Linked DNA regions of Mus musculus. The protein of the gene in region 1 purifies or fractionates together with the protein of each later gene. This does not show direct contact. Links are inferred from orthologs where the notes say so. Each region holds a gene or a part of one and is shown in the gene's direction. Other genes may lie near its edges.

The links.
Region 2: the proteins of Seh1l (region 1) and Nup98 fractionate together in Homo sapiens (co-fractionation; 3 studies listed by BioGRID and IntAct, with this or other methods). This does not show direct contact. The link is inferred for Mus musculus from reciprocal best matches to the Homo sapiens genes SEH1L and NUP98.
Region 3: the proteins of Seh1l (region 1) and Nup85 purify together in Homo sapiens (affinity purification with western blotting; 4 studies listed by BioGRID and IntAct, with this or other methods). This does not show direct contact. The link is inferred for Mus musculus from reciprocal best matches to the Homo sapiens genes SEH1L and NUP85.

Annotation. Positions count from the first base shown.
Region 1 is NC_000084.6:67,791,876-67,795,475, forward strand, and holds part of Seh1l (nucleoporin SEH1), read left to right. Parts: coding exon 1-139; coding exon of another isoform or gene 140-143; exon of another isoform or gene 144-718; intron 719-1,274; coding exon 1,275-1,287; 3' UTR 1,288-2,841; coding exon of another isoform or gene 2,842-3,025; 3' UTR 3,026-3,600. UniProt on the Homo sapiens protein: Component of the Nup107-160 subcomplex of the nuclear pore complex (NPC). The Nup107-160 subcomplex is required for the assembly of a functional NPC.
Region 2 is NC_000073.6:102,152,564-102,161,091, reverse strand, and holds part of Nup98 (nuclear pore complex protein Nup98-Nup96 isoform 1 precursor), read left to right. Parts: intron 1-363; coding exon 364-551; intron 552-3,923; coding exon 3,924-4,040; intron 4,041-6,998; coding exon 6,999-7,297; intron 7,298-7,842; coding exon 7,843-7,956; intron 7,957-8,528. UniProt on the Homo sapiens protein: Plays a role in the nuclear pore complex (NPC) assembly and/or maintenance. NUP98 and NUP96 are involved in the bidirectional transport across the NPC. May anchor NUP153 and TPR to the NPC.
Region 3 is NC_000077.6:115,564,722-115,573,249, forward strand, and holds part of Nup85 (nuclear pore complex protein Nup85), read left to right. Parts: intron 1-432; coding exon 433-526; intron 527-1,879; coding exon 1,880-2,042; intron 2,043-3,641; coding exon 3,642-3,712; intron 3,713-3,957; coding exon 3,958-4,001; intron 4,002-4,980; coding exon 4,981-5,050; intron 5,051-5,277; coding exon 5,278-5,399; intron 5,400-8,528. UniProt on the Homo sapiens protein: Essential component of the nuclear pore complex (NPC) that seems to be required for NPC assembly and maintenance. As part of the NPC Nup107-160 subcomplex plays a role in RNA export and in tethering NUP96/Nup98 and NUP153 to the nucleus.

The DNA of each region.
Region 1 (3,600 bases):
ACAATTGGAAGTGTACTGGTATTTTGAAAGGTAACGGGAGCCCAGTAAATGGGAGTTCTCAGCTGGGAAACTCAAATCCTTCACTGAGCTCAAATATTCCAAATCTTCAAAATTCATTAAATGGAACTTCTGCTAGCAGGTAGGCTCTTCTGTGGGAAAAACTAGAAACCTCCTTCCCTGCCCCCATGCACACTTTTTATGTGTAGGGTGTTTTACCTGCTTGTATATCTCTGCTCCATAATGTGTGCAATGTTTGGGGAGGCCAAAGAGTCAAGTGTTTTGGAAGTGGAGTTACGGATTCATGTGAGCCACCATGTGGGTGCTCAGAATCAAACCTGGGTCCTTTGCAAGAGCAGCCAGGGCCCTTAATTGCTGAGCCACCTCTCCTGGTAGTCATACTAAAAGGTGAATTTTAAGATGGAATAAAGTAATTCACCAATAATTGTGACACTTACTCTTGGAATTTCACTCTTGTCTGTATTTAGTGGCTTCCTTGGTTATAGTATGGACAGTTTTTTAAGTCCATTGAATTATATTCTGGAATTCAGTGGTCAGTAAAAATGTTAGTCGTTTTATGATTCTGTGTTCTTTTCTGCAGCAGTGAAAGGAGATGTTGTTTAATAGAGCTGACTCTTAGATAAATATTCGGATGTTTTTAGTGCCTCTTGGGTAGGCTTTGTATCAAATCACATTGAAATTTTAAATAAAGTCCATAACTACAGCTTTGTGAGACCAGTGTGTGAAATGATTGGTCTTTTGTGTGTATAATAGTGTGTATAATAGTGGTAAAATACAAGATTTTGAAGTTTAGGCTCTTCTGCATACATTTAAAACAAAATTTGACATAATCTAGAGTCAGTTTTTGTCATTCATATTTCAAATATGTAAATTTGCAATATAAAAAATTTAAAATATGCCTTTGAGTATAATTTGGAATAGAGGTTGGGAAACTTCAAAATTCCACTTTAAAATGGCTCTGTGTTACCCTATTGTAACCTATTTCTTAATCAAGAAATTTTGCTGTTTGATTTTGAGGTTTTAAGTATTTGCAACTATAGAAAGTGTTTCCAGTTACTATGGAGAAGAACAAATTATTTTATGAAGGAAAGCATAGTAGAGTTAATTTTTAAAAATCTGGTTTTAGGTTACAGCTTTAGTTCTGTGTTATTTTCTTCCATAAATAGCTTTGATCTGTTTTCTTATTGTGCCAATAACCATCTATGTTAGATCTGTGATGCATTCTCCTTCTCCGTTTGTGTTGTGTCCTTTAACAGAAAGCACAGCTGAGTACAAGCTAGCTGGAGTAACTTTGCTGTTTTGCTGCTTGTTGCATGCACACAGGAATGGAAATCAACTCCTTTTCCCCTTCCCCAGCGCCGTTTGATCTCTTCCAAGATGCACCAGCAGCCCGTTCACTACTACACACAGTCCAAAAGGCCTTTAAAGTGACAGTGTATATAACTTTTGTACTAGTCAGCCTCCTGACACTATAAATGGAAAGGCTTTTTGTTGACACATCATCACCAAAACAATTTTTTGGGATGTTCTGGAGACTAACTTGGGAAAGCATTGCTATTATCCTCATAAGCATTTGGGAGGAGGGAAAATATAATTTTATTCCGTTTGGAGAATATAGGAATATGTCTTTTATTTTCTAAAACAATAAGCTAAAATGATGAGTTTTTATAATTTTAATTTGAAAATCGAATAAATATTTTCTTAAAGATTGTTTTGAGTGGTAATGTGTTTACCTTTTGTAGAATTGCTCTATAGGTGATATTATCCACACAACGACTTTACAGGTGATATTATCCACACAATGACTTTACAGGTGATATTATCCACACAACCACTTTACAGGTGATATTATCCACACAACGACTTTTTCTTGTAATTAAAAATACTAGTAACCTGGCACCACAGTCTATACAATGGTTTGTAGCCAAGCAGCACATTAGCATTTGCTAGTTTAGAAGTGGAAACACTTCTAAGTTTTCATCTCATACCCATTACAAAGATGGATGTTTCTAATATATGCATGAATGTTTATGGTATGATCCTACACATCTTCGTTTCTTTTAAGACAATTTGGAAACATAAGTTGACATTTTTCAGAAAATGTGCATGCAATTGAAATTCCATGTCTCAGGATTTTTAATGTGTTGTTTCAATGAGTTCCTGTCTTTTGACACTTTTGACTTTGATGACAAAGTTATACACCTTTTTATTGACTAAACTGCATACATATTACGGGTAAGTTATAAGATGGTAGATATAATTCTATGAGCCTTTTTTGCACCAAAATTCTGTAGCTATTCTAAGTTTTTTGCAGGAAACTAAGGCTGTCCAATGGTTGTATTTTTCAAAGCCTGTGGCATGACCAGCTTTCCCGTGTAGTTTATTGGAGTTGGTTCTCAGTATCATGTACGCACCTAGGAGGTGTGCCTGCCGCTGCAGCACATGCAGGACTGCTGACAGTGGAAAGCAATGTAAATGAAAGAATCAGATGGGATTAGACAAGGCTTCACATTTATAAAATGAATGTCTCTGTAACATAGGTACTGGTAATTTGGGGGGGCATTTTAACTTTAACATATTGTATTTTTTTTCAAACTTTTATACTTCTTAAGCAACCTTGATTCAAGTGCAAGTCTTGATTTGTACTGTTGTTCTATCGGTTGTGGCATGAATATACAAGCTTTTTTTCCTTCCTTCCAGCATGTTTTCTCTTCTTTGGTTCTCTTTGTATTTACTGCTTTTCTCTTTTTCTTCTGTTTCCCTCCCTCCTTTCCCCTCTGTTGTTTTTGTTTTGGTGTTTTGTTCCTGTCTTCATTATTTCAGGTATTTCTTTCCCCCTCTGGATTCCCCACGGGCTGGATCAAGATGGTCCAGTTGTGCCCAGCTCCTTCCTCCTCCTGCTCCTCTGCTAGAGCACTCTTGCGATGCCAACCTCCAGTATCCTCACCCTCGCAGAGGATACCTCTCTCGGCCTCTTAACCCCTTACCTGAGAATGAAGGGGTGTAAAATACTGACGTAAAGGCCTTATCCAGATGCTTGTAAATGCTTTTATTCTGGGCTGCTTTTTGGTTTCTTCATTTTCTTTTAGAAGATCCTTCTTATTTAGGGCATGTCTTGCATGTATCACAACTCAAGTGTTTGAAACCAAACCTTTTTTTGTACTTCTGCACAAGGAAGCCTTGGCTTCACTAGTTGGTTACCTTTGATGAGAGGAGCTTCAGAAAAAGCAATATTAACTGTGAAAGATTCCCAGTATCTGATTCAAAGTGCCTGCCTTGTAAATTCTGTGTGGAGTTGTTACCATAGAGTTCAGGTTTGTCTGTTGATAGGTAGCTTCATAGGAGAGCGTATCATTGTGAACTTCACTCTGGACTTCAGACATTAAGAAATGTTTTGAATTTTATACGCTGATGTTACAGATGACTGTAAAATAAATCATTCCTGTGTATAAAGCAGCAAATCATAAGGATATTTTTGTCTTTTTTTTCTTTTTTTAAAGGAAAATGCCTTTCACTACTGGGAATTAATACTTAAGGATTTTGTAATTATCCTCCAAGTAGGTTATTTAATAAAAATATTTT
Region 2 (8,528 bases), on another chromosome or scaffold:
TATATAGAGAAATCTATAATCTTTTTTGAGGTTTAGAGAATTCTCCAAAGGGTGGTGGGAATGGTAAGATGTGAGTCACTGGCCCTGGTTTGGTTTTCTGATTATTAAAATTAGTACCATACATTTGAAATAAACAGGAATATTCCTTGATACTTTTTCTTTTAATACAGTGAAATAATGCCTTGCTAAATAGACATGGCAGGTCTGGGTCTTTCTGTATAAACAGGTTGGCAATGAAAGGGTGATATTCCTCTTGCCTTAGTCTACTAGCTGCTGGGGTTACAAATGTAAGCCACCATATTAAGCTTGCTCTGCTTTTCTTTTCTTTTCTTTTCTTTTCTTTTCTTTTCTTTTCTTTTTCAGAGACTGAAACCAACCAATCCAGCTGCTCAGAAAGCTCTTACAACACCTACTCATTATAAACTTACACCTCGCCCTGCTACCAGAGTCAGGCCAAAGGCTTTGCAAACAACAGGCACAGCCAAATCACATCTCTTTGATGGGCTGGATGACGATGAACCATCTCTAGCCAACGGAGCATTCATGCCTAAGTGAGTTTTGTTTTGGTTAAACAAAATGATATGGTTATTTAAGCAATAAGTGTAATTATCCTTGGGTAAAAATACTTAACAGATATTTTGATGACTGTGATTTTAATTTTATATGTTCATGATTTTATTTTTGTATGAAATTACCTTTGTATTTATAACTCAAATAATCAAGGCCTATATAGCTCAATTACTTGCCTAGCATGTATAAGGTCCTTTTTGGATCCCTAGAAGAATAAAAAAGATGTTTTAAGAAATGTTAAAGGTTGCTGAATGGTGGTGGTATGTAAATGTAACTTTCATTTTCCTGTCACTGTCTGCTAACCTAGTCCTTGACGCTTCTAGCCTCTATACAATCTAATCTAAGCCTAGAATATTTTCATCCTCTGAGACTTACTGCTGAAAATGCTCACTCACCCTTTCTAGTTCTTTCTGAAATCTTTTGGCTGGCTTAACTCAGCTATTCTGGCTCAAACTCCTCTCCAGGGTGACTGACTCAATTTGGCTTCTCTCAGCTTCTGACTGAATTGCACTGCTTGGTCTCAGACTAACTTTGGAAATCTATTCTAATCTTCTGGCTGCTCCTCTTTCTCTGACTTGTCTGTCTTCCCCTGTGTCTAGCTTGTTCTCTCTTTGCAGCCTGTCTCTGTAAAACCAACCGTTCTGCTAAGTCTGCCTCTTTGCTCTCTTCTTCTGCGCCACTCCCTCTTATGTTGCCTGTTTTCTCTCTGTTCTCCTGAGAGTTGAGCACATCCTAGTCTGTCAAACTATCCTCAGATTTGTCAGTTTGTCTGCCCCTCAATTAGACATCACTTTCAAACATAAGGCTTCCTTCTCTATACTAACTTTACCTTCATTGTTTGGGATTAAAGACATGTACTAAGCTTGTATCTGAATTCCAGACAGATCACACAGGCCTAAAAGGCTTTTGGATAGGGTCAGAGTAGCCATGTTGCTGTATTAAAATACCTCTACGGTGGTATATGCTTTTAATCCAAACACTTGGGAGGCCAAGGCAAGTGGATCTCTGACTTCTAGTGTGCATTTCTAACCATGCTCCAGTTTCCAAATAACAACTCAGAAGCTTATTATTTATAAAAAATTCCAAGACCATAAACTAGGGTTGTTCCCAGTAGCTCATAACTTATTTTACCCATTTAAACTGTTCTGTGTCTGCCACATAGCTGGTTACCTCTCCTTAGTTTTATACATCCAACTTTCTCCAGATAGTGGAGCTTCCCCACTCTCACCATTTCTTGTTCCTATCTTCCTCTACTGGAACCTCCTGCCTTCTTCTTCCTGCCTTTTGCTAATAGGCCACCAGCTTTTTATTGACAGGTGATGCTTCCACACAGTACATAAAGGATTATTATTATATTCTAGGCCTGCCTGTTCTACAGTGAATTCCAATTTAGCCAGGGCTTCACAGAGAAAAAGAAAAGTGAAAGGTCAGGTTGAGAAGAATCTGCACTTCTTTTTAATTTCTTATAAGAATTGTTTCTGGATATAGAACAAATAATAGAATAGTTTGAAAGAGATAAAATAAGAAAGAATATGGAAGAATTAATGTTAAGCATAGGAAAATCCACATAAATGATGCGTTAAACTAGGCACCATTAAGTTATCCATGGGAAAGGCCCTGAAGCAATGTCAGATTGCTGACATTGAGAGACGGGACATCTCAATTCTGGGTTGCTTATTCTCGATATGCAGTTAGATAGACACAGGTAGGCACACAAACATTTTTTTAAAGGCAGTAGTAGTTTTTTAATTGCAAAAGTGTATGTTTTATTTTTAGTTCCTTACTTAGAATTCTTTGTTGGTAAATGATAAGTTCATTACAGCTCCTTTTCTTACAAATAAATACGGGTTGGGAAAAGCTGAGTGTTGGTGCACACCTTTGTTCCAGCACGGAGGGAGCAGAAGCAGGTGGCTCTCTGTGTGCCCAGTTCCAGGACAGGACAGCCAGGGCTACACAGAGAAATCTTTTTTTGAAAAAACAAAATAAAAAAGGGGTCAGGGTGTGACTATAGTAGGCTCAGTGGTTTAGTGCACTCTTTGCTCTTGAAGAGGATCTAAGCAGTTTCACAGCTGTCTCTAGCTATAGTTGCAGAGGATCCAGATTCATCTTCTGACTTTCTTTGGACATCAGGCATGCACAGACAAAACATACACATAAAATAAAGCTAACAAAACTCTTAAAATTATGGGTTGAGAACTCTGGTGATGGTTCACTGGTTAAGACCATATGTACAGGCCTGGGAACCTGAATTCAAAGCCCAAGCACCCACATAACAAGCCATTCAAAGCCACATACATGTCTATAGTATTGTAGTGGTAGAGACAGAAAGATTGCTGGCATTTTCTTGTCTGTTTGCTTACCTCCAAGACAAATGAAAGACCTTGTCTGAACAAAGTAAATTGGAAAATGATCCAGCAGGATACCTAAGGCCCACATCTTGCTTCTACATTTGCTGATGCACCAATATTCTCACATGTGCATACTTCGCGCACATATCCCTATAAGTAAATTGCTTTGTCACAAAAAATAGAAGTGTGATTTTATATTTTTATTGTGTAATTTGTTTTTAAGGAAGGATAATATGTATTCATTTGTATTTCATAGCATTTTTTCCAAGTAGTTAAACATACTTGATGCTGTTTTGCTTTCCATTTTGTTACTGTGGTAAAACACTTGATCGAAGGCAGCTTAGGAAGGAAAAGATTTATTTGTCTTATACTTCCTGCATATACTTCTGTCATTTCAGGAAGTCAGGGCAGAAATGCAAGGTAGGAACTTGAAGTAGAAATCATAGTGAAATACTGCTTCCTGGCTCACTCTCAGGCTTCTGTTTAGACAGGCTTTGAAGTGTGTGTGTGTGTGTGTGTGTGTGTGTGTGTTTAATATGTACTTGAGTGCGAATGGAGTCTAGAAGAGGGACCACCTATGAGTCCAGGTAATTATAGAGGGTTGTGAGCTACTTTTTGTGATGGGAGCTAGGAATCAAACTTAGGGAACTCTATAAGAACAATGTGTATTCTATGTGTGTTGAGGGAAGGGGTAAGTCGATAAGAGTCTCTCTATGGAGTCTTAGCTATCCTGGAAGTAGACCAAGCTTGCCTCTGCCTCTTTAGTGCTGAGATTGAAAGTATGCCCTACACCCAGTTTCAAGACTATTTTCCACTTTAATCTGCATCTTAACAGCTTTTTTCTTCAAAATAAGAGCAATATATTTGAGGCTGTGTGTTGTGATTACACCACTAAAAACTTTATAGATGTAGTTTTATTAGGTGAGTTTTGGATATATAAGACTGCTGGTTTGGGCTCCAGTTTTTAAATACATCTAATCTTTTTCTTTTGGTCTCTGTTTTTAGAAAGAGCATCAAGAAGTTGGTTTTGAAAAATCTCAACAATAGCAATCTCTTTTCTCCTGTTAATCATGATTCAGAAGATCTAGCTTCACCCTCTGAGTATCCAGAAAATGGAGAAAGGTGAGCTGGATTCATTTTAAAGATGTTGTTAATCGTTCTGTTTTGCTTTTAAAAGCTTCTAATTTTATAAAGGTTGAGTTTTATATAGACTTACTATAATTCAAGGGCCCCTGGGTGTTATGTTATTATTTCTAGAGTACTTTAAACCTCAAAAATTATTGGAGCAGATTAATTTCTATAGAACTACTTTGTAATTATTTTTTTAAGATTTATTTATTTTATGTATATGAGTACACTATAGCTGTACAGATGGTTGTGAGCCTTCATGTGGTTGTTGAGAGTTGAATTTTAGGACTGCTGCTCGCTCTGGTTGGCCCTGCTTGCTCAGTCCCTGTTCGCTCCAGCCCAAAGATTTATTATTATAAATAGGGACGCTGTAGCTGTCTTTAGACACATCAGAGGAGGGCGTCAGATATCACTACGGGTTGGTTGTGAGCCACAATGTGGTTGCTGGGACCCGAACTCAGAACCTTTGGAAGAGCAGTCAATGCTCTTACCTGCTGAGCCATCTTGCCAGCCCCTATTTTGTAATTCTTATATGTGGCTTTGGGCAGTTTTAGCAAGCACTTCTGTTAGTTAAGGTACAGTTAGTCTGATGATTATTAAAATAATGTTCATTCTATCAAGTAAAATCAATATAACAAACAAGAAGTAAACAGACATATATATGTATATATGTGTGTGTGTATGTATATGTATGTATAAATTGTGTGTGTGTATACACATATAAAATACCTGTCTTCAGTAGTCTAATTTAAGGGCTAAAGAGCTGGCTCTGCAGTTATCAGTACTTGTTCTTCCAGAGAATCGGAGTTTGGTTTCTGACATCCATGTTGGGCAGCTCACAACTGGGATCCAATACTGTCTTCTGACCTTTTTGCCAACACACATGACATACATTCAACAAACATATATGTAAATAAAAATAATTTATAACATTTTTACTAGTTTGACTATTAACTATTTAATAGTCAATTTAAATATTTAGTAGTTTTCCAGTTTAAAAATTTACTTGAGGGGCTGTTGGAAAAATAGCGTTAGTCTGTAAAGTACCTGTCTTTCTTGAAAGCAAAGGACTTAATTGGACCCAATGTCTCACAAAAAAAATAAAATAGGGCCTGATGAGATGGGTCTGCAATGAAGATCACTGGCTGCTCTTGCAAAGGACTGGTATACCATTCATAACATCTACATTGTGACTCACAACCATCTCTAATTCTAGTTCCAGGGGATATACAGCCCCCTCTTGTCCTCTGTAAGCACTATATATACATATGTACACATACATACCTGGAGGCAAAACACTCATGTACATAAAATATAAATAAAATTAGATTGAGTAAATGAGGGCCTAGAAAGATGGATTGGTTGTTAAGAACACTTGCTGCTCCTGCAGAGGACCTGAATTTAGCTTTCAGCATGGTTGCTCATATATGCCTGTAACTCTAGTTCCTGGGGATCTGATGCCTTTTCTGACCACTGTAGGCACTAGGTATGTATATGGTGCACATAAATTCATGCAGACAAAACATTCACACACATAAAATTAGTGAAACTTTAGAAAACAAAAAGGCATAGTGATTCATGCCTTTACTTCCAGCACTTGGAGGCAGAGAGGGACAGTCATCTCGTCTACATATGGAGGTCAGGACAGCTAGGGCTATGTAGAAAGACTATGTCTCAAACAAACAGAATGAATGAATGAATGAATGAATGAATGAAAAAGAAAAGGAGAGAAAGAAACAGCCAGTGGTGGTAGGTTTAGAGGTTGGTTCTCTCCTTCCAGGAAATGGGCCCCAGGAATTAGACTCAGTCATTTAGGCTTTGTTTCATCACTCAGCCCTCTTGCCAGCCCTGATTCCCCATCGTTAATGGTCTTTGTGGTCATTGTGATGAATATAAGATAGTTTAGTTAGCTCTCCATTAGTGAAATTTCAGAGATTATTTGGTATTCCTTTATTCAAAATAGTGGGCCATCTATTTTTTAATTTGTAATTTGATATTTCATTAAAGTATTTCCAAACCTCTTGTGTTTATAATATTAGTTTAAATTCAAATTTTGAGATTTTTAAAAATTTTATATATATATGAGTGTTTTGTCTACAAGTATGTATGTGCATTGTGTGCATACAATGCCTATAGAGTCCACTTATGTGAAATCCACTGGAACTGGAGTTAGAATTGTTGATAGCTTCCATGTCAGTGTTGGGAATCAAACCCTGGGTCTCTGAAAAAACAGCCAGTGTTCAGTGTTTATTTTGACATTAACCATTAATCATTTATTTTCACATAGCAGCAAGTATTTTGTGTTTAGTCTAAGATTTAATCAAAATCAAGGCTGGGGAGATGGCTAAGTAAAGGCCTTTGTCATCAAACCTGAAGATCTGAGTTTGATCTCCAACACACCCACAGAGTGAGAGGGGGTTGCTCAGATTTATTCCTTTGAAAATGAGCAGTCAAGGCTATGAAACCTAGAGCTAGATTTTCTGAGGTTTTTCGTTTGTTATTTTATGTACATGGGTGTTTTGGTTGCATGTATATTTGTATACACTTGTGTGCCTGGTGTCTTAGGGGACCGGGAGATGGTATCAGACCCTCTAGAACTAGGTTGCAAATTGTTGGGAGCCACCATGTCTGTGCTGGGAATTGATCCAGGATTCTCTATACAAAGCAGCACATCCTCTTAACCACTGAGCCATCTTTCTAGCCCTAGATTTTTCTATTTTAAAACTTCAATTCTAGATAGTACTCACAACTTTGTGATATTACACAAAATTTTTTTTTTTGATCTGGTTTTCCTGTTACAGGTTAAGAGGTAGTAATTACATCCTATCTCACACAGCTGCTATAAGGATTTATTAAATCATCTGGTGTAATGTCAGATCCTTAATAAAAATTAACTGCTGTCATCACCTTTTCTATTGCCAAAGACTAAGGTATTTTTTTCTCCGTTATCAGATTTAGCTTCCTGAGCAAACCTGTTGATGAGAACAATCAGCAGGATGGAGAAGATGACTCTCTTGTATCACGATTTTACACTAATCCTATTGCCAAACCCATTCCACAAACTCCAGAGAGTGTTGGAAACAAAAATAACAGTAGCAGCAATGTGGAAGATACCATTGTTGCCTTGAACATGCGTGCTGCTTTGCGCAATGGATTGGAAGGAAGCAGTGAAGAGACGTCATTCCATGATGAGTCATTGCAAGATGACCGAGAAGAGATAGAAAATAATGCTTACCACATACACCCAGCAGGTCAGATTCACATACTTTTTTATATCTTTGAAACAGTTTTTAATTACAGCAATGTGGTCAAAAGAGTCCACTTCTTATAGCCTAAGAGACTGTCCTATCTTCCTAACTTTGTAAATTCAAGTGGATTGTTTATTAGTAAGACCTTACCATAGTGTATTCTATGGAGACTTACCATGTTATGGGTATTCCTTTTAAGAAGAGGACTCTATGGTAAATAAAATCTACAAATCTTAGGTTAAGCAAAGTTTAGTAGACTATATTACATTTAAAATGTTTTTGTTTTTCTGTTTGTGGGAATAGAGTCTGGGTCTTGCTCATGCTTTCTTCAAACTTGCAGTGACCCTTCTGCCTCTGCACCCCAAGTTCTGCGTTGAGTATGTGGAGGCAAGTTGCTCAGAAGCTCAGGGTCTTGGCTTTGTTTTAACTACAACGCCATACTGACACATAAGACCCTGTCTCATATTGTTATATGAAAATAAAATTAATAGAACTGGTAACTGTTCTACTCAAGTATAATCACAATATTTTTTGACTTTTGGTCATAGGCATTGTTCTCACAAAAGTTGGTTATTACACTATCCCATCTATGGATGACCTTGCTAAAATTACCAACGAGAAGGGAGAATGCATTGTTTCTGACTTCACCATTGGTCGTAAAGGTAAGTGTGAGTTTAAAAGTCATATAACTTAGAGATTGGACCTTGCCTATGTTATTAAGGGCAACTCTAGGTTTTAGAGTCTGGTTTTTTGTTCTTGTTGGGTTTTTTTTTCCCCCCTGTATTTGGTTCTTTCCTGACTTAGACTAATAGAAACATTGACAAGTAATAAAGCAAGGAAGACTAAAACCATGTAGAATTTGGGGGCTTAGACATACCTGTTTGAGTCTGGTAATTATGTTTCCCATAATTCTCCATAATTAAACTTGAAGATATACTAAGTTTTTAATACAGTGATCAATTTTATATTAAATTGTTATGGGTAATTTTCTTTAAATAAACTTACTCTGTGAAGTAGTCTTTTGAATGGGCTCAAGTATTTTAGTTTATGTAGCAGACGAGGAACCAAGTTGTTCATACACTGGCACTGGAGATACTGGGGAAGATTTGAAGACACCAGAAATGTAAAGTGGAGATGTTATATCTGATAACTATATAATGCCATTCCTCGGTCCCCACTCTTGCCATCTTTAGGAGACAGAAAGCTACTCCAAGAATTTCTGGAAGGTTTAAAA
Region 3 (8,528 bases), on another chromosome or scaffold:
GCAATAGTGGTCCCTAGGTCCTGTGAATACTGGCCGGCTCGCGGAAACCCCACTGCATCACCCTTGTTTTTATAACCTTTCTGCTTCTCTAGTTTTCCCCCCTTGGGCGTTAGAATGAGATTGGTGTAAGCCCCACATGGTCACTCCAAGGGATGAGTTGGCCTTTCCCTGTCCTGCTGTCCTAGTCCGAGGCTTAATAAATGCATAATTTGTTCTCACGGGAGACAATAGACTAGTTTCTGTCGCGTTGTATTCTATTCCTCTTGCACCTAGAAAATGTTTTTTTAAGTGTGTATATGTCTGAATATGTGCACAGCATCATTGGATACGACCTAGGCTGTTCGCCTGGTGTATGGTGTTCGCAGTTACACTTGGAAGTTGAATGGACAGTTGTAGGGCTAACAGCTCCTGTGCCTCCTTATGTCTTACTAGTGGATTCCAGGTGTGAATTCCAAGAAGAAGCAAATGTGTTTTGACTGGGGCCCCGGCGAGATGCTTCTGTGTGAAACTTCCTTCAACCAAACAGGTAGGCAGTTCTTTTTCACATCTGTCTTGGCACATTGGTTGACTCTCTGAGGCAGGAAACTGGAGTTATTTGGCAATATTTTTATTTTTGAAACTTTGTTTTTTTGCTATTTTGAGACAAGTTGCCCCTATGTAGTCCTAGTGGGCTTGTCTTTGTGCAATCTTTGTGTAGGTTTGAATTCTACATCTTCTTCCCTCGACTTCCAGAGTGCTGGGACTTGAGGTGTGTGGTTCAACACTTGACATTAAGTAATTTTTAAATTTTATAGTCTGTGTATGGGCATTTTGTCTACGTGCATAACTGTGCACCACTCCGTGCTTGGTGCCGCAGAGGCCAAATGAGATCATTGGATTCTAGGAACTAGAACTCTATATTTATGTGAGTTGCCATATGGGGTGTTGGGAGTTGAACTTAGGTCTTCTGGAAGAGCTGCCTGTGTACTTCTTGTTTGGTTTTGGTTTTTTGAGATGGTTTCTCCGTGTAGCCTGGCTGTCCTGGTACTTGGTTTAGACCAAGCTGGCTTTGAACTCAGAAATTACTTGCTCTTTTTTCCTGAGTGTTAGGATTAAAGGCAGGAAATTTCAGCCAGTTGTCTTAGACGCCAAACCATCTCTTCAGCCCCCTTCCTATAATTAACCTTTAGAAACGACCCATATAGCCCAGGTGTGGAGATACGCACCTTTTAATCCCAGCACTCAGGAGACAGAGAGGCAGGTGGTTCTGTGAGTTCACAGCCTGCCTGATCTACAGAATGAGTTTTAGGTCAACCAGGGCTACACAGAGAAATCTTGTCTTGAGAAACCCAACAAAAACAAGCCCAAAGAAGTGAGTTAGACTGCCTCAGCTGAAGGCAAAGTCCTGGGTTCAGGCAACGCTCGCTTGCAACCTTAGATTTTCTACTGTGCAGAAGAGTTGGCGGGGGGAATAGAGAGTCCCCAGCTGCCTGGGATATGTTGCCAGACCCATTCTCAAAAACCAAGGATGTAGGCTATCACTCAGTGGCTCAGTGATAACTTCTTTAGCATGGGCAGTGTCCTTAATTAGATCATCAATATCACCAAAAAAGAAGTCTGTGTTGTGCTGCCTGCTTGTATTGTAATCTCAGCCTACACAGACCAGATGAAGACAAATCTTTTTTTCTTTTGGCGTAAACCTGGTTTGCTTGGCCGACTGTGTGCACTAGTCTTCCCTTGAGTTTTAATCCTCCCGTCTCATTCCCACCGGTGGAGAAAGTGGACATGTGCCCCAGGCTCAGCCGGGCTTTGTAATTAGAGAATTAGAAGTACTGGGATGTTTTTCTCTTTTGGGGAAAATGGTAGATGTTGAGTTACTTTTTTTCCTGTTTTGTTACAGGCAAATCAGAGAAGGTGCCGAGCTGCCCTTTTATCTACATCATACGGAAAGATGTGGATGTTTACTCTCAAATTTTGAGAAAACTCTTCAATGAATCCCATGGAATCTTTGTTGGCCTGCAAAAAATTGAGGAAGAACTGTCGGGGAAGTCCAGGAAAGCTCAGTAAGTGGTGGGTGCTGAGGCTGCAGTGAAGTCGTGAGAGGGAGGCGTCCTTATCCTTGTGAGTGCCGGGGCACCTCGGGGTTCCTGTTCTCCTGTGTATCTTCTTAGGGTGTAGTTGTGCATTGTGTAAATGCTGTTGGAAGACTTACTGGCTTGATATATATGTATCAACTCTTCCTTTTGGATTCCTACTTCATTTGTATGTGTCCCTTGAACACCACCACCGACCAAAATAAAAATAATATAAATATGGTGAAAGGAAGACTCAGACAGAGAAGCCCTTGAATTAGATCTCACTCTTGAAAGAGTTAAAAACGAGGCTGACAGATCTTTAAGAGCTGGTAGTCAGCAGAGTGAGTTCCAGGCCGCCCAGAGCTGCAGAAGCGAGACCCTGTCTTAATATGAAAGAAATACAGGCGTCAGCAGACAAGGCAAATGGAAAAGAAAGACTTGCTTCTCAAGCTTGTGTTTTTGACAAGGAATCAGGATTTGGTTTTTTTGCTTCCTTTTGGGGTGGCGGAGCTCGAGCTGCCTTTGAGTGCCCAGCTGCTGAGCCGTGATACTGGGCCAGCCCTCCAGGCTACGGTTTGTTTTTTTTCTTTCCTATTATTCACTCTTTTTTGTTGTTGTTGTTGTGCTCGTTCCTTGAGCTCAGTAAGTAGATGAGGGTGAAACTGGGTTTCATACACCTGGCATGCACTCTGCTGACTTGTGTAGCCCAGGCTATGTATGTGCTCAAATACGTGTGTATCCTTGAGTTTCTGGTCCTCTTGCCTCTACTTCTCAAGCTCAGGGTTACAGACACGATTACCAGGCTTGTGGTAATTCAGTGCTTGGAGCATCGAGCACTGAATTTTAGCAGAAATTGATGCAGAAGCCGTGGAGGAGCCCTGCACACTGCCATACTGTCGTGGCTTGCTCAGTCTGCTTTCTTTCTTTCTTGTTTTTTTTTTAAAAAGATTTATTTCTTCAGACACACCAGAAGAGTGCATCAGATCCCATTACAGATGGTTTTGAGCCACCACGTGGATGCTGGGAATTGAACTCAGGACCTCTGGAAAAACAGTCAGAGCTCTTAACCACTGAGCCATCTCTGCAGCCCCTCGGTCTGCTTTCTTACAGCAGCCAGGACCGCCAGCTTCGGATGGCACCTCCCATATCAGTTATCAACTGAGAAAATACGCCACAGGCTTGATTACAACAGTAGTGCTTTTAACCTGAGCCGTCTTTGCAGTCCAGACTTATTTTAACCATGTATGTGTAGGTGCATATTGGTGCAGGTACCTGTGGGAATCAGAAGATGACATTGGGTTTCTTAGAACCAGAATTGCAGCCAGTTGTGAGCCATCTGATAAGGGTGCTGGGTACTGAACTCTGGTCCTTTCCAACAGTAGTACGCACTTTAAAACCACTGTGACAAAGCTGTTTGTTTGTTGTGTGGTATGGTGTGACCACATGAGTTTATATGTACTGGAGGCCAGAGCACTCAGAGCTCCTGGAATTGATGTTGCAGCCCGTCTCCTGTCTTTTGATTTCTCTCTTTCTAGCATCAAGATACGGTTCCATGTCATCTTGTATGTCATTTCATTTTTTTTGTAGATTGGTTCGAGTGAGTAAAAATTACCGTTCAGTCATACGGGCCTGTATGGAAGAAATGCATCAGGTTGCAAGTAAGGACCCTGTGTGTGTTTGAAGTACGTTATCTGGTGCTGTTTTCTCCAGAGGCCTTTAAGGAGGCTGCTGTGCAGTTCATAATAGGTCCTTGTTTTAATGTGTGATCCATAAGCGTTTCACATGAAAATGGGTGGGTGGTAAAAGAAACCAAGGCAAAAACCGTATGGGGCTTCTGAGGGCTTAGGAGATGAGCTACATTCAGTGCAGGTTGATTGACTTAAGGTGTTTTGTATTCTGCTAGTTGCTGCTAAAGATCCAGCCAGTGGCCGGCAGTTCAGCAGCCAGGTAAGGTGTAGCTGCTTTCATTGTATTGGCAACATCGTGTTAGTGCGTAGGGTGGTGGCTTTGTGGTCCCTGTTGCAGGAGGGCTCTCCTTTTCAGGTAGATCAGCAGCTCTTTGGGATGGCAAGTATGGCTTTGAAAGTGTTGGTCAAGGTTTTAGCCCATGGGAACTCAGGGTTTTCATTGCTTGTGGAAAAGATGAGTCCTAACACATGGTGTTTGTGAGTTGTCACTTGAGATGGAGAACCGAGCTTCTAGGACTACTGCTTGGTCTCATGAACTCAGAATTGTTGTCAAGCAGCATGTGGTTATAACTCAGCAGGACTAGAAGGCGACATCTAGGACTCTTTCCTCAGTGAGACCCCAGAGCTTTTCTAACTCATGAACAGGGAAAATAGGCTTTCTCTGATGGGCACAGTATGCTCTCCCCCTGGAACAAGGGGTGATGGAGGGGGGTGGGGTGGGGTGGGGGACGTTCATCTTCCTAAAGCATCTTAGGTTGGGCTTTGCTTTTTCGGTTGTTGCAGTGCCTGGTCTTGGTTCCAGTGTTGTAGGTGTGCTAAGTATGCACACTGTTGCTGAGCTATGCCCTCGGCTGACATGTCACCTTTTTAAAACAGTTTTTATTGTGTGTATGTATGTACAAGCGTACCTGTGCATGCATGTGGAGGACAGAAGAAGATGTTGAATGTCCACTCTCTCTGCTCATTCTCTTTCTTCTTGATCCTGGGAGTTGTGTTATTTTGGCTATGCTGGACACCAGCAAGCTGCAGTGACCCTCCTTTCTGTTCCCTTTGTAGCTGAGGCCTCAGATGTGCTCAGGTCTCCAGCTTGTTATCTGTGTGCTATGATCCAAACTCTGCTCCTGATGTGTGCACAGCAGAGTCTATTGACTGTGAAGCCATCTCTCTTGCTGTCTGTTGCTTTGCATTCGAGTTTCAGTAATAGTTTCAGTTAAAACTAGTCTCCGTTTCTTCCCTAGGTCTCCATTTTGTCAGCCATGGAGCTCATTTGGAACCTGTGTGAGATTCTCTTTATTGAAGTAGCACCAGGTAACCCCAATTTGTTTGTTTCATGTAGCCTCACTTAGCCCAGGCTAACTCTGTCTTAGCATCACAGGGTTCCTGTCGTCCTCTGTCCTTCCTAGTTGCAGGGAATAAATAGCCCTCTGTCCAGTCAGGTCCTCTGCTATAAATCCACGTCCGTGTCTGTACTTGGGTGGAGTGGAGATGCCGCAGATGAAGCTGAGCTCTTTTGTGTGACATGAGTCTCTCCTCAGCTGGCCCTCTCCTCCTTCACCTTCTTGACTGGGTCCGACTGCACGTGTGCGAGGTGGACAGTTTGTCGGCAGATGTCCTGGGCGGTGACAACCCAAGCAAGCATGAAAACTTCTGGGACCTGGTGAGTGTGCGCGGACGGCAGCCGCCCGCCCTGTGCACTCTGCGCGCTGCAGTCGGCTGACTGGGAGGACCCCTGCTCCAGCCTTGGCTCAGCTCTCTGAGTTTATGATTGTGGAGTAGGTTTTGCATCTTTCCTTCTCTGCTCCAGAGCAGTTTAAAACTAATTTAGCACGGGGAGCGGTGCTTGGTAAACTTGCCGTCGTTTCAGGAGGATTTTGTTTGTAGGTCTGAGGAAGAGAGGTTATAAGGGGACCAAGCGGTTGATGGGGTGCACATGAGCATAAGTGGTCTGAGGTAGAACACTCTGGGGCAACAGTTCACAACCTGTGGCTCATGCTCCCAGGGGATTTGCATATCAGATGCTTACATTACTATTCATGACAGTAGCAATGAAATAATTCCATGGCTGGAAGTTAGCACAATGTGAGCTCTGTTAAAGGGTCTGGGCACTAGGAAAGCTGAGGCGCACTGAGGAAGGACCTTGAGGTGGCATTGTAGTGAGTGCCTACATAGCATCTGGGAGACCGATCTCCAGCACCACAAGGCGAGAAAGGATCTTTTTGGTTACTTTGTTGGCTTATTTTGTTGAATTTATTTATGTATTTTAATTCAGGGTTTCTTTGTGTAGGCTTGTCTGTCCTACCAGACTGGCTTGGAACCCACAGAGATCCACCTGCTTCTGTCTCCTAACTGCTGAGATTAAAGGTGTGGCCACCATTGCCCCATTATTTTTTTCTCCATGAGACAGGGTATCTCTGTGTAGCCCTGGCTGTCCTGGAACTACTTTGGTTTGCTTTTTGAGACAAGGTCTCACTGTGTAACCCTACCGGCCTGGAGCTCATTTCTAAACCAGGCTGGCTTCATAATCCTACCTCCTGAATGCTGGGATTACATATGTGCGCTATATATGTGCCTGCTGTGCCTTGATTTCTCTTTAGACGGTCTTGGTATATAGATCTTTGTTAACTTGTATTTTCTGAGGCAATATAGGGAAACTCTTTCAAAACATAAAATTGGTCAGGGGACTGGAGATGTAGTTTAGTGGTAGAGTACTTGCCTAGCATGCACTAGTCCTTATGTTTGATTCCCACCACCACAAAAAGAATACAGTTGGCAAGGAATATGTGAGAAAAAGGAAGGTGGGTGTGTGCATCTGGTGAAGGAGAAGGAATGGTGCGTAGACACTTATTCAAGTCCTAAGTTTAGATGCAGAATAGGTCGTTGGAGATTTGAGTCTGTCTGTCAGAAGGCGATTTGGGGACTTGAGTACATATGCTCAGGTGTGTATGTTACTAGGAGTCTTTGTATGTTTTATATACGCTTACTTGTACAGTCAGGTCATTGTTTATGGGCATTAGAGCTGCCCTCAACCAAACTGCTAAACACTGAACCATTGCACATGGCTGAGTTCCACTGAGCCTCTGGTCACCTTATGTGCTGGGATTGAACCCAGGACCTTGATAGTCTAGGCAAGTGCTTATACATGGTGGGAAAGCTTTCCTCTGCTAATGAGCATCATCCCGTCATCCCCAGGCCCTGGTCAGTGTTGCCAGCTGGGCAGATGGTAGCGCATTCTTCTGGTTACAGTTACTGGGTGGTTGAGGTGGGAATACCACTCGACCTTGGGATCGGAGACAGCCTGGGCAGTATCGTGAGATCCCGTCTCAGCCAACCTTTGTTTGGATTTTTTGTATTGTAAAGATTAATCAGTTTCAGGCAATGGTGACACTCAACCTTTAATCCCAGAACTCAGGAGGCAGATGCAGGTGGATCTCTGAGTTCAAGACCAGCTTGTTCTACAGAGAGATTCCAGGACACCAGAGTTACACAGAGAAACCCTGTCTAAACAAATCAACCAACCAACCAAACAAAGATAAATGTGTTTTTAGTCATATGAGTATACATATGAGTGTATGTATTTTTTTTTTTTTTTTTTTTTTTTTTTTTTGGTTTTTCGAGACAGGGTTTCTCTGTATAGCCCTGGCTGTCCTGGAACTCACTCTGTAGACCAGGCTGGCCTCGAACTCAGAAATCCGCCTGCCTCTGCCTCCCGAGTGCTGGGATTAAAGGTGTGCGCCACCACGACCGGCGAGTGTATGTATGTTATGTATGTGAACTGTATGTGTGCTAGGCAGCTGTGCGGGCCAAGAGGGTGTCGGAGCCTGTGAAGTTGGGGTTTAGATGATTGTGAACTGGCACGTGGGTGCTGAATCTGGGTCCTCTGCAAGGGCAGAGCGCACACTTAACTAGTGAGCTGTTTCTCCAGCCCCAAAAAAGTTTGTTTTGGTTTGGCTTTTGGTTTTTTTGATACAGGAACTTGCATGGCCTTGACTGCCATTGAGCCAAGCATGAGATGGAGTTTCTGATCTTTCTCCTTACACGCATTTGCCACCATTTTGAGTTTTCTGTCATGCTGGGGATGACCAGGACCTGGTGGAGGCTTTCTACCAGCTGATGGGCATACCTAGGCCATAGCGTGGTTCGGTGTGTTTCTGCTCGCAGCAGGCCCCTGTGTGGGGCCTGTGTCTACTTGTTGGTTTGCTTGTGTTAGTATCTGGTGTTTTGAGAGAAAGTCTCACATTGTACTGGCCACTCATGGCAACTTTTCTTCCTCAGCTCTCAAATACTTGGATTACACACGTAAGCCACCATGTTTGACTCTCAGAAGTGTGTGTGTGTGTGTGTGTGAGAGAGAGAGAGAGAGAGAGAAAGACAGACAGACAGACAGAGAGAGAGAATGAATTGGGTTTTGTCTGTGTAAGGTGGACTTTCTGACACTGAGCTATATTTCTGGCCAAACATATATGGACAAACATATTGTCCCCCCACTGTGGGGCTCAAAGCAGAGCTTTGTACACACTTATCTAACCCTTAATGTTTCTATGGATTTTATTCTGATTGCTCTGAGTGAGAAGTATTCTCACTCTTCACATTACTGGATGGAGCTACATGACAGTACCAACTTCTGAGTCCTGTTTGCCTCTTGCTGGGATTATAGCTGTGTACTCCACAACTCACATGTTTACGCTGGTCTTCAGCTAGAGCTCAGGCCCTTGAGTTTGCAAGACCTGAGCTTTCCCGACTGAGTCATCTCCCAGCCCTGAGCTCTTCTTTTCCATTGAAAAGTTAC